Linked DNA regions of Alligator mississippiensis. The protein of the gene in region 2 interacts with the protein of the main gene of each other region in a pairwise test. Links are inferred from orthologs where the notes say so. Each region holds a gene or a part of one and is shown on either strand. Other genes may lie near its edges.

Region 1 (3,819 bases), on a different chromosome or scaffold from region 2:
ATCTTGTACTCTGGCAACTGTCAGGTACACAACAGACCCCACAACACACTTTATCAGCCAGCATAGGTTAGAACCAATCTAAGACTCCTTGAATTACACATGAGCTGAATTGACCCCTGACTAATAGGACAAGCACAAAGAATTACCTCTCTCCCCCTTCTTTCTTGAACCTCAAGTCCTGCAAAACTGACAACTCATCCAGAGTCAATGTTCTGGCCCTGGAATTCTTCCAGAATTGCACCTGGAAATGCTTCCTTTATTGCCTTCTAATTAATTCTGAGGTAAATAGTGGTGCAATGCCACTACAACTGACATCCATTCGCATCTGGAAAATGTGTTCATTGTCAATATTCTCAGCAGAAGCACTGTAAGTGTTTCATTCCAAATCATCTATGCTAGATCAAATCATAGTCCACAGTATCCATACATTGTCTCATTCTGCACTCATTTAAATTAATATAGACTCCTCTTGACTTACATGGGCTTTAGGTCAGGTTCACAGATCTTAATCAACTAAACTACATGATACAATTTAGGTTGGACAACATCTTCGTTATATTCTTGGCTATTTCTGAACTACAGGCACTTGTTAGCTGAAGGGAATTAGGTCACAAGGCCAGAAGTGCCTATTTTCAGCAATGCATCATCCTCTGAAACAAACTGACAACAAAGGTCCTTGTCTTAAGGATGAATGATTTGATTTCTAACAGGTTCTCAAAAAGAAAGTCCAGTTTTGGGCTATAATCAATGCACAAGACTTCCACCTGCTCTCTTTGAAGTCAGGGGCAAAATTCCCATTGGCTGCCAGGATGAGCGATGATCAGCCTCCCAGTTGCACAGAAGGAAGTGTTGCTTCTCTGATCAATTGCTTCATGAACAATACACCTTGCACATTTATACACCAATAAAAACCATAAAATGATGTTTTGCTCTGTGCAGGAAAGATGGAAACCCTGTTGGAGCATACCTGATTTTGACTTCAGGACAATCTGAATCGAATGCCCATCGTTAATGACTTCGCAGTCCCGGCAGACAACATAGTTTGGTGTCAGGTGCACTTCCAGGAGAGAAGGGTCATAATTGGCTTCTCTCGAATTCAGGTTGATCGGAGACTGGTATTCCCCATTTGCATCAGGGAAGATCAGTCCCCACTCCACTCCTGCAACATGTAATCATGTGGAAATAAATTCAGAGAGCTTTGCCGTGATGGAGATGCAATCTTAGGGGGATTAGGACAAAGGCAAATAATGACAGGCACGTGAGTCCTTTCCCTCAGTATCAGCCTCAAACCCAAATGATTCATAGAAAATTAGGGTTTGAAGGGACCTCCAGAGGTCATCTATTCAACCTCCTGCTCAAAGCCAGACCATCCCCAAGTACATCATCCTAGCCAAGGCTTTGTCTACCAGGGTCTTAAAAACCTCCAAGGAGATCCCACAACCTCTCAGGGTGGCCTGCTCCAGTGCTTCGCTACCCTAAAACATTGGATTTCTTTAAAGCCACCCTTGCTCCCACAGGCTTTCTAAAGACAAGTTTTCAAAACATGGGAGGGTCCATTTAGGAGACCGACTGCAGCCCCAACAGTCCACCACTAGTGTTTGCTTCTGCACAAAAGAAAATGTGAGGAAAATTCCTCCCCCTGTGCAAGACAAGCCAGAAATCAAGTTCTCGGATGAGAAATAAGCATCTAGCAAGCTGTCGGCGGGGTCTTCCCCAAAGCAGACCCATCCCTCCAGCCATACTAGGAAGTCGGGTGGCTCTGGTGCTCTAAGCCATGGGCTGGGCTGGCCGGTCCTGGGCGCAGCGACACTGGGGGCACCTTGAAACAAGCCGGGTTCCCTTCTGTGGGGGCTCGTTTAGGAGGAGCTGGAGCTGGAGCTGGGGTCGGGTCGGGTCGGGTCGGGTCGGGCGGCGGAGCGGCGCCAGCCCGCTGCCCGCGCCCGGGAGCCTGCAGGTGGGCGCCGGAGCCACTGCGGGACCGCGCTGCGGAGCAAGCCCCGGGCGGGGGCGAGTGCCGCCGCCTTTACCTTCCTCGTAGCCCCACTCCAGAGCCTCGTCCTTCCGCGGGCATAGCTCGGACTCCTCGATGAAGCTCTTGTCAGCCATGGGCAGGCTCCCCGCTCTCGGCTCTGCCTGTGGCCGGGAAGGGCGCCGCTCTGCCTCCCTCCCTCCCTGCGTCCGGTGCGGATCAGGCAGCCGCTGGAGGCTCAGCCGGCGCGTGCCTGTGTGTGTGTGTGTGTGTGTGTGACACACACGTAGCAGCGAGGAGGGGTGTGTGGCTGCAGTCCCGGGCGGGCTCTCGCAGGCGGGGACCGGGGCTCCCGACACCCCGGGCGGGCCGGAGGTGCGCCGACAGCAGCACAAGAGCAACCTGGCATCGCAGAGAACTTTTTCTCCAAGTACTCAGCTGGTCTAATGAAAGCTATCCCAGCTGCCTGCCTGTGTCCTGAACCAGGCAACACCCCTGCAAGAGCAACCCAGAGCCTTCAACTAGAAAGGGGCAGAGTGAAAAGACCTGCTGGGAGAGGAGGACAGCACTTCCCAAACTTGTCCTCAGCATGACCCCCATTGCTGGCCCTGCTTCCTCAGCATGACCCCACCGATGGTCCTCCTTTCCTCAGCATGGCCCCTCACTCCCAACCCACAGCCCCCCATCCACTGATGTTGCCACCTCAACCGCCTGGGAGCCACTGCTCCACCATTGTTCTGCAGGCACCAAAGGAGTGGAGGCTAAAGGCTGACATCCGTTGAGGGGCAGATTGAGTTGAACAAGGGGCACCTCCAAGTCTAAAAAGGTTGAGAAGCGTTGGCCTAGAGCAGCGCTTCCCAAACTTTGCCTCAGCATGACCCCCTTGATGGCCCCGTCTCCTCAGCATAGCCCCTCACTCCCAACCCACAGCCCCCCACCCCCGTGACCCCATCAGCTGACGTCACCCTATTTCGGGTCGTGACCCACAGTTTGAGAACCGCTGGCCTAGAGGCTATGGGTGGCTATGCACTACAGAAATTGGTATTTGGGGAACACTGAGGAGAAAGACCATGTAGGCTGCACAGACAGACAGTGTAGATCGGGGTGCTTCTAGCCCATGAGCCAAATTTGGCCCATGGAGCCATGGCATCCAGCCCACAGGGCTCCCCAAGAGTCAGGAAATCTGGCAGTGGGGGAGTGGTGGCGATTAATATGGTCACCCTCCACTGCTGTCAAATTGCTAAAAGCAGGTTGGGACCAGGAAACACTGCCTGTAGCATGTATATCTTCAGTGGGTATGTATCTTAAGTGAGGAAGATAATTTTTCTGCCCAAAATAGAAGTATGAAGACACAGTATAAGATGGCTATTACTTCTCTTCCCTCTAGCAGCCATGTGGAGGGGGAGGCAAAGTCCAGCAGGGACAGATCCAGAGGGGTACAGTGGCATGGTTGCACCCCACTTTGATTCCTGCGCCACCCAAATTTAAAACCAACTGCCTGGCTGCAGCCATAGCATTTCTATTCAGGCAGGGCTGACTTCATAGCTCTTTATACCTGATTCTTGCTAATTGCTCTTCAGTCTACAGATATCAACAACTCTCCTTTTAATGTTCCATTAATCAAGCTTTCTTCAGCAATTTTGCTGTATATTAGCTACTCAAGGTGTCTCTCCCCCTATTTCACAGCCCTTTGGACTGTTTTTAGCTCTTTTCCAAATCCTGGATACATGGAGTCCAATCTTCAGCAGCAGCTATAGTTTCAGCTTTTGGCTGAGTAACTAAGAGCTGCTCTCAGTTCAGCTGTGAAATGGTTAAACTGTAGCATTTGCCTGAGCAGGAAAGGGAGTGTG
Region 2 (3,600 bases):
ATCTGCCCATGACTGCCTGAGTCCTGGCCACAGCCCCAGCCCCTGCCCTCTTGAACCCACGTGTCCCAGGGACCCTGCTGCCACAGCCTCCTCTCCACTCCTACAGTCACAACTAAATGCTCTGGTCTTTACCAGCCTACAATAACTCCTTTGAGGCAGATCCAAGGGGTGCCCTGGTGGACTTGCACCCCCTTTTGATTCCTGTTCCACCAAAAGTTTAAAGCCAACTACCTGGGAGGAGCAGCACGTCTACTCTGCTATACCCCCCTGGCCCCTGGGGATCCTGCTAATGTGCAACACCCCTCCCAGCAGGAGGAGCTCCCTAATACAGCATCCGCCCCCCTACCCCGTCAGGGTCCCTCCAAAGATCCCCTGGCACTATCAGGGTGACTCACGCTGCCCGGCATTGTTCACAAGACAGTCCAGGTGCCCAAAGCGCTGCAGGGTTGTGGATACCAGGGCCTGGAAGAGGGGAGCAAGGAGCAGGGGTCAGAGGGAGAGAGCCAGGGGTATAGGGAATCAGGGGAGGACAGTAGGGATTTTTGGGGTTCAGGGCAGATTGGGAGGGACAGGCCTTATCAGACCCAGCCTCAAGTGCCTACCATCTTGAGGTGCTGTATGATGAGCAGGGGGGCTTGAGACCCCTATTGCTTTCTCTTTAAAGACCTCTCCCCCACTCCTCCCCAAGCCCAACCCACCTGGATATCCTGTTCACTGGTGACATCACAGGGCCAGAAGAACGGCTTCCCGGGGCCACCCGACTCCTTTAGTGCCTGCTCCAGTGCCTCCCCCACCTCCTCTGCAAGTGAAAAGGGAAGAGGGGTGGGGAGAAACAGCTGGGGAGGAGGTAGCATTAGATACTGGGGGGAATGGGAGATCCCAAGGGGAAGGGGGCATCCATAAATACCAGGCAGGGACAGATCTGGGGGCCAGAAGTGTAGGACCCTGTCCCCAGTCCCAATCACCCCAGCCCTGGGATGCAAGGGGAAGCCTCCCTCCACCTGAGCCCCACGGGGAAGGGGAGATAAGGACAGGAGGTGGGGTGGGGAGGTTCACCTTCAGCTTTTGGGGCACAGAAGACCACATGAGCTCCCTGATGGACTGTGTGGGTGGAGGGGGGAGTTGTGGAGTTGCAAGGGGACAAAGTAAGAGGACAAGGTTAGTGTGAGATTGGCTGGTGCTACACGCTTCCTCCTACAGTGCAGGCAGAGGCAACATCCCCCCCCCCCCCCCTGCTTCAGTGCTACAAGCTTCCTCCTAGCCTACCCTCCACATCCCCCCAGGCAGGGATGGGTCTCTGCTGCCCCCTACTGACCAGCTCCCTGCACTATACATGTCTCATAGAAATGGAAGGGCCAAGATTTGGTGCTGGGGGGTGAGGGGGGGATGGGCTAACACAGCCTCTTCACCACCAGCTCAGCCCCATGACAGAAAGCTGGGGTGGGCATCAGGGTCCCCCCTGACAGGAGCTGTTAGTGGTGGAGGGCACAGGGGCAGGCCAAACCCAGGGCTGGGTAACAAAGGCAGGGGACAGAGGTGGGGTACATTGTAGGCTTTACCCCCCCACCACACTCATATCTCTGGCCTCTTCCCCCCTCCAAGTCAGTGACCTGCTGGATGAACAGTCTCGGGACAGACAAAGTCCAGCTGGGTCCAAGCCTTGGCCCTGCCTCAAAGTCCTCTCCCCACCCAGGCCCCAATCCCAGCCTTGCAGATCCCCCACTATATCTGCCACCCCATGCCTCAGCCCCCAACCCCTCCATGGTCAGACATGGCAGCCCCGTCCTCCCTGCTCCCCCATGCCACCCCTTGACCCCCACAATCCCAGCCCCACAACTCACTAGGCCCCTGCCCCAGCCCAGAGCCCCCCTCCGCATCACCCCAAGGACTCCCTGCTCCTTGACCCCCACCTCCCCGGCTTTCCCACAGAGTCCCTGCAATAGCCCTGACTTCAGCTCCCTTCAGCCCCCACACCTAATACCCCCAGTCCCACTCATCCCCAAGCCCACTGTACCCAGTCCCTGCCCTGCCCCATCCCATCCCCTCAGACCCAGTGCACCCTGATCCCAGCTCCCCCAGCCACCCCACACCCAATAACCCCCAGTCCCACTCACCCCCAAACCCACTGCACTCCAGTTCCTGCTCTACCCATCCCAGCCCCAGCACACAGAGACCTCTGTCCCCCCTTACCAAACTCCCTGACGATGGCTTCCCCGATGCCCCTCGTGCCTCCCGTCACAAGGGCAACCTTGCCTGGGTAGCGCAGCCCCGAAGCCATGGCCAGGCCAGCCCAGCCCCAGCTGATCCGGGATCACGTGTTCCCCCTGGGCAGGAGTTATAAAGGAAGAGGGGAGACAGATGCACCCTGGGAAATATAGTCTCTTGATTGTGGGGGGATTGGAATAGGGCATCCCCTACCAAGGGTCACCACTGCAGGGCCAGATTAACACATAGGCAAACTAGGTACATGCCTAGGGCCCTAAGTGAAGAAGAGACCCAATTGTGCTTATTTTACCTATTATAATTATTGAGTGAAAAAAAGGAATATACAAATTTTATCTTCAGCTGGTTTCCCTAGGGTCCACTAAAGGGTTAATCTGTCCCTGCACCACTGGGGTCCTTACACATGTAATTCCCAGGAAGTGGGGGGCAGCAGTGGTGCTGGTTGCCTGTGTTTTGCTATGGGGTTTCCCAGGCTTCTGGGCTTTACTGATTGCCCCCTTCCCCACCTTTCTGCTGCACGTGTCAAGGTGTTTTTAAGCCTCCCTTCAAGGCATTGGGTGTTGGCTGCTTGGGGATTGGGATTGGGTTGTGCCAATTGGGTTGTGTCAAGTTCATCATGGGGGCACAGAAGGGAATTGGTGAGGCTTTACTCACCAAGGCGCCCCTGGGGGTTACAAGAAATAATGGCCATAAGCTAGCAGAGAGCAGATTTAGACTAGACATTAGGAAGAACTTCACAGTTAGAGTGGCCAAAGTCTGGAATGGGCTCCCAAGGGAGGTGGTGCTCTCCCCTACCCTGGGGGTCTTCAAGAGGAGGTTAGATAGGCATCTAGCTGGGGTCATCTAAACCCAGCACTCTTTCCTGCCTATGCAGGGGGTTGGACTCGATGATCTATTGAGGTCCCTTCCGACCCTAACATCTATGAATCTATGAATACTCCTGCTGGAACCAAAACTAGCGCTTTCACCCCATGGTGGTGCATTTTGTTGCTACACTGACCTGCTTGTAGCAAAGGGAGTGGGAGGAATGCAATTGGTCTGGGGTATGGGGAGGGGGGTGAACCCCTTGATTGCTGGGCTGGTTCTTATAGGGGCATGGAATTGGACTCAGAGAGCAGGAGACTTAGGTTTCAATTGGATATCAGGAAAAACCTCTTTACTGCTAGAGCAGTGAGGCTGTGGACTAGACTGCCTAGAGGAGCTGTATGCTCTCCATCACTGGAGGGGCTCAAGGAGAGGTTGGACAGGCACTGGTCAGGAATGATCTAGGTGTAGCTCTGCCTGTGTTCTGCTCTGGGGGTTTCCCGGGCTTTGCTGGTTGCTCCCACCTTTCTGCTATGGGTGTCTAGGTGTTTTTAAAAAGCCTTCCTCAGAGGC
Region 3 (3,819 bases), on a different chromosome or scaffold from region 2:
AAGAGGAACAGACTAACAAATGAACGCACTACTAAGTTTTTTTCTATTTCTCAATTCTCTCTTGCTTCTGGAGAATCAGTCAGAAGCATAATTAGTGAAGAAGATGCAGCATGATGATAAATTGCCCTTGCGGACAGACTCCTTGGTAAAACCATCCTTTAGCAATAGAGAACGTGGTTCAAGTCGTTCTGAATCAGATTTGCTTCCAACTGATTCTGAAATGGAACTAATAAGTAGTGCAAGTGATTCTGCAGATAGTGACAGTGAAACTGGAGGTGCCGTGATGACCTCTGTGGAAGAGAGTTTAACTCTGTTGAAGTAGATGAGTGGATAACCACGGCATATCGTGCACAGTTCTTTAGGTGTGCTAAAATGAGTGTATCAACAGTTTTCAGTGCCTTTGTTTTTTTCTTAAATCGATACAAGCAAGGTAAGAGAAGCACACGCTATTGTGTATTCTCTTTACATTTTTACAAGTATTTCAATAAAAATAATTTCTTCCCACATAAAGCTTTAAAATTTGTTTGAATATAACATTTAAACCATACTAAGTGTGCTGTATTTAATTTTTTTCCTAATCAAATATTTCAGTTCAAATACTTGTGGTTATTGGGAAATAAAATTAACATTTTTAGTTCTGTTTACTAAATACAAGTCAAATAAACATGCTAAATCAGACCATGCTCTATTTAGGGCATTGGAAATTTTTTCCAGAAAACCCACATCTCTGTACACCAACAGCAAAACTTAACAATTACTGCTGTTCAAGAAGTAGCACTTGCTCATGAAGCTGCATCTCTCCATTCAAAGGAGATATAAATGTTGCTGCAAACATGACATCGGGCTCACTAAGTACAGTCCAAAAGGAGTTTTCCAAAGTCACCACCAGCTCACTGAAGAATTAATTCTCCATCCTTCAGAAGCTCCTATAGCTATGGTGGACTCCACAGACAAAACAGAGGCTGTTTCTGCCATGCTAACTACAATCATTGTAAGCACAAGGATCACATTAAATGTGTATCAGAAACTCAAGCCATCCAGAAAAAAGTCAAATGAGCAGGGCATACCTTCAACCGACACAAATATTTATGCTGATCTGAATAAAATTTCAGCCTGTTGAGCACTTGCAGATACCTGTACTACTGGGTTTGTCAATTGTGAAGAAAACACACCTGAACAGAAGATCTACACCACAGTGCTGTTCCAGGGTATTCCATGTGTCACAGAGGATCCTCAGGATTCCACATCTGCCTTAATTTCACAAGAGACAAAAAATGCTGTGCTCTCCAAAATCAACCACCTATTGTCACATGTGAAACAAGACTTGTTGACTACAATAAACAAGCTGTTGACTTAAAACAGGAGCAGACAAAATACAGCCCATGGGCCAAGTATGGCCCACCAGGCAATTTCGTCCTGCTTACAGGCACCTACCAATTAATTGTACCCCGCCAGGCACATATGCTTCACTCCCACCCTCCCATGTGGGAGGGCCCCAGCCAGCATGCACAGCTTCCAGACAGGCCCACTGCTGCCACCACCAGGGGACCTCCTCACCTTCCCCAGCCTCCAGCAGCTCCTCCTTCTGTCTCTGCTGCAGTGCTCACTCCAAGCAGGAAGTAGGGAAGCTGCAGCTGGGCCAGGAGTGTGGGACTGGTGGAAGTCCGGAGCCTGGGGTTTGCACTGGTAGCAGGGTGGCCGGAGTGTGGAACTTGGGTGGACAAGGTGTAGGTGTGTGTGAGGTTTGTGGGGTGGGTGTAGGGACCTCCCCCCCCCACACATGGCACACAGCACACAAAGAGAGATTAAAAAACCCACAGTCCATACCAATCTGGCCATGGGGTAAAATTCCTTCCTGACCCCAAATACAGCACTGGTTTGACCCAGAGTGGAGGGGCAGGATGCTCTAGCCAGGTACCTCTGGCTTTCAGTCCTAGAAAAAGCACTGGCACACCCTAGTCAAAATCCCTTGGCTGCAGCCAAAACCCCATGCCTCTGAGGGAAGCTTAAAAACACTTTGACACACATAGCAGGGAGCAACCAGCAAAGCCCAGAAACATGGGAAATACTCACAGCAGAACAGAGGCCTACTGCTGATAGTAACTGGAATTTGCAATTGGTTTATTTTTTTTTATTACAATAGCATGCAAATCCAAGGCTGAAGCCTCACAGAAGGACTGATGAAAAGCAAATTAAAGACCTGTATACATCAAAGCTTCCCAGACTTGTAGCTGAGCACCAGAAGCAAAAACTCGGGTTCTCCGCCCATACAGATGTCCAAACCAAACACAGCTGCGCACCTCCAAAGCCAAGCAAGCAAACCACAGTGGGTGCCTACAGCTGTTCTTGAAGCGACAGGGCCAGTGTCATACCAAGCCAAGACTCCAGATGCTAACACACTTCACAGACATGGCAGCGGTGCCCAGATGCAGTGCCAGGCTTCAGTCCAGGAGACATCCTGCTGCCACAGAGCAGGCTCTCACAAGGCCCATTAAATGCTCTAGCTGCTGGCAGTAAGCACCTCCAAAGCCGGCCTAGCCTAGGCTGCACGAGGAAGCCGCCAAGCAGCCTAAAAGCAGCAGGGCAGGAGTGAGCAGCAGAGCAGCCGGCCCCTCAGCCAGCAGCCCCCGGACCGCTGAGAAACGCGAGCGCGGCACCCACAACCGCTCCCAGCTCACCTGCCTCTGAGCCAGTCGCCTCGGCGGGAGCTCGGCGCTGAGCCGGGAGCCACACCCACCCGACGCTGCGCCTGCGCAGCTCCTGCTAGGAGCGCGCCGCAGGCCGCCTTCCGGCGGAGCGTCAGCTCGGAGCCTTGTCTAACTCCTCCCCGTCTCTTTCGCCACTTGCGCCAGCCGGGCCCTAGTTTATGCTCCTGGAGCCGCCGCTGTCGCGGCAAGGCCAGGCCGGGTGTGCCTGCAGCGCCGGGCTGAGGAGCTCGCCCCGGGCCTGGGCAGAGCGTTCCCCCTCCTGTCCCGGCTTGTTCTTGAGGTGAGGCTTCAGCGCCAGCTTTCTGCTTAGTTGACGGTTGCTGCTGTTTCCTGCCCGTGTTTATTGGCACGGGAAGGATGTCGGCAGAAGGGATAGCAGCCAGGCATTTCAGTAACATGTACACTATGAAAGAAAGAACCTCGGAGCAAAGCCTGGAGTGCATCACACTCACTAAGCCCTAGGTGACTGGTAGAGGGTGCACAAGGGTGCACATGCCCTCCCCCCCACAGGTGCCCTGCCTGAGGGCCAGCACCAACTCTTGGCGGGGCTGGTGCCCCCGAGCTGTTGGCAGCTTCTGCGGGTGCCCCCCCAGGTTCAGGAGGCACCAGTCACTCATGCACTAAACTTCTGTTGCTGCTGTAGAAAGCAGCTGCAGGAACTAATTGAGGTCTGGAAAACCTGCCTTATAATCAAATTCTTTAGAGAAGGATAAGGGGTGACTTGACCACAGACTACAAGGACCTCCGTGGAAAGATTTCTAATAGCATTAGACTACTTGATCTGTCAGGCAGAGGTATTCACTACCAGTGACTAGAAGCTAGGCAAATTCTGAGTACAAACAGATTTTTAACTGTACCACTGAAGTGGTTGAACCACTGAAGAAAGGTAGTTAAGGATGTGGGGGATTATTTGCTATCTGCAGCATACACCAGGGACTTGTACACCAGGCCACAAATCGGATACTCCTGGCTTTGGTGGATATTATTGTTAGGGTGACAATATTTGAATCTTAGAGAGTGCTGGATTTGCAGCTGAATACAAGGCATGACCTGTGGCCTAGCAGACCTACAGAATGATAGCTAAGCCAGCCATTTGCTTATACTAAGTAAC

The links.
Region 1: the proteins of HSD17B14 (region 2) and CA8 interact in binary tests that used the Homo sapiens proteins (3 or more experiments, as listed by UniProt). The two-hybrid records come from large-scale screens. The link is inferred for Alligator mississippiensis from reciprocal best matches to the Homo sapiens genes HSD17B14 and CA8.
Region 3: the proteins of HSD17B14 (region 2) and MPG interact in binary tests that used the Homo sapiens proteins (3 or more experiments, as listed by UniProt). The two-hybrid records come from large-scale screens. The link is inferred for Alligator mississippiensis from reciprocal best matches to the Homo sapiens genes HSD17B14 and MPG.

The regions. Positions count from the first base shown.
Region 1 is NC_081826.1:68,392,124-68,395,942, reverse strand, and holds the start of CA8 (carbonic anhydrase-related protein), read right to left. Parts: upstream 2,237-3,819; 5' UTR 2,107-2,236; coding exon 2,028-2,106; intron 1,160-2,027; coding exon 968-1,159; intron 1-967. UniProt on the Homo sapiens protein: Does not have a carbonic anhydrase catalytic activity.
Region 2 is NC_081828.1:39,480,202-39,483,801, forward strand, and holds the start of HSD17B14 (17-beta-hydroxysteroid dehydrogenase 14), read right to left. Parts: upstream 2,318-3,600; 5' UTR 2,279-2,317; coding exon 2,191-2,278; intron 1,102-2,190; coding exon 1,057-1,101; intron 837-1,056; coding exon of another isoform or gene 800-836; coding exon 699-799; intron 463-698; coding exon 396-462; intron 1-395. UniProt on the Homo sapiens protein: Catalyzes the NAD(+)-dependent oxidation of L-fucose, yielding L-fucono-1,5-lactone, which rapidly converts spontaneously to L-fucone-1,4-lactone. Can also act on D-arabinose and L-galactose, with lower catalytic efficiency. Does not use NADPH.
Region 3 is NC_081836.1:21,549,860-21,553,678, reverse strand, and holds the start of MPG (DNA-3-methyladenine glycosylase), read right to left. Parts: upstream 2,825-3,819; 5' UTR 2,679-2,824; intron 1-2,678. UniProt on the Homo sapiens protein: Hydrolysis of the deoxyribose N-glycosidic bond to excise 3-methyladenine, and 7-methylguanine from the damaged DNA polymer formed by alkylation lesions.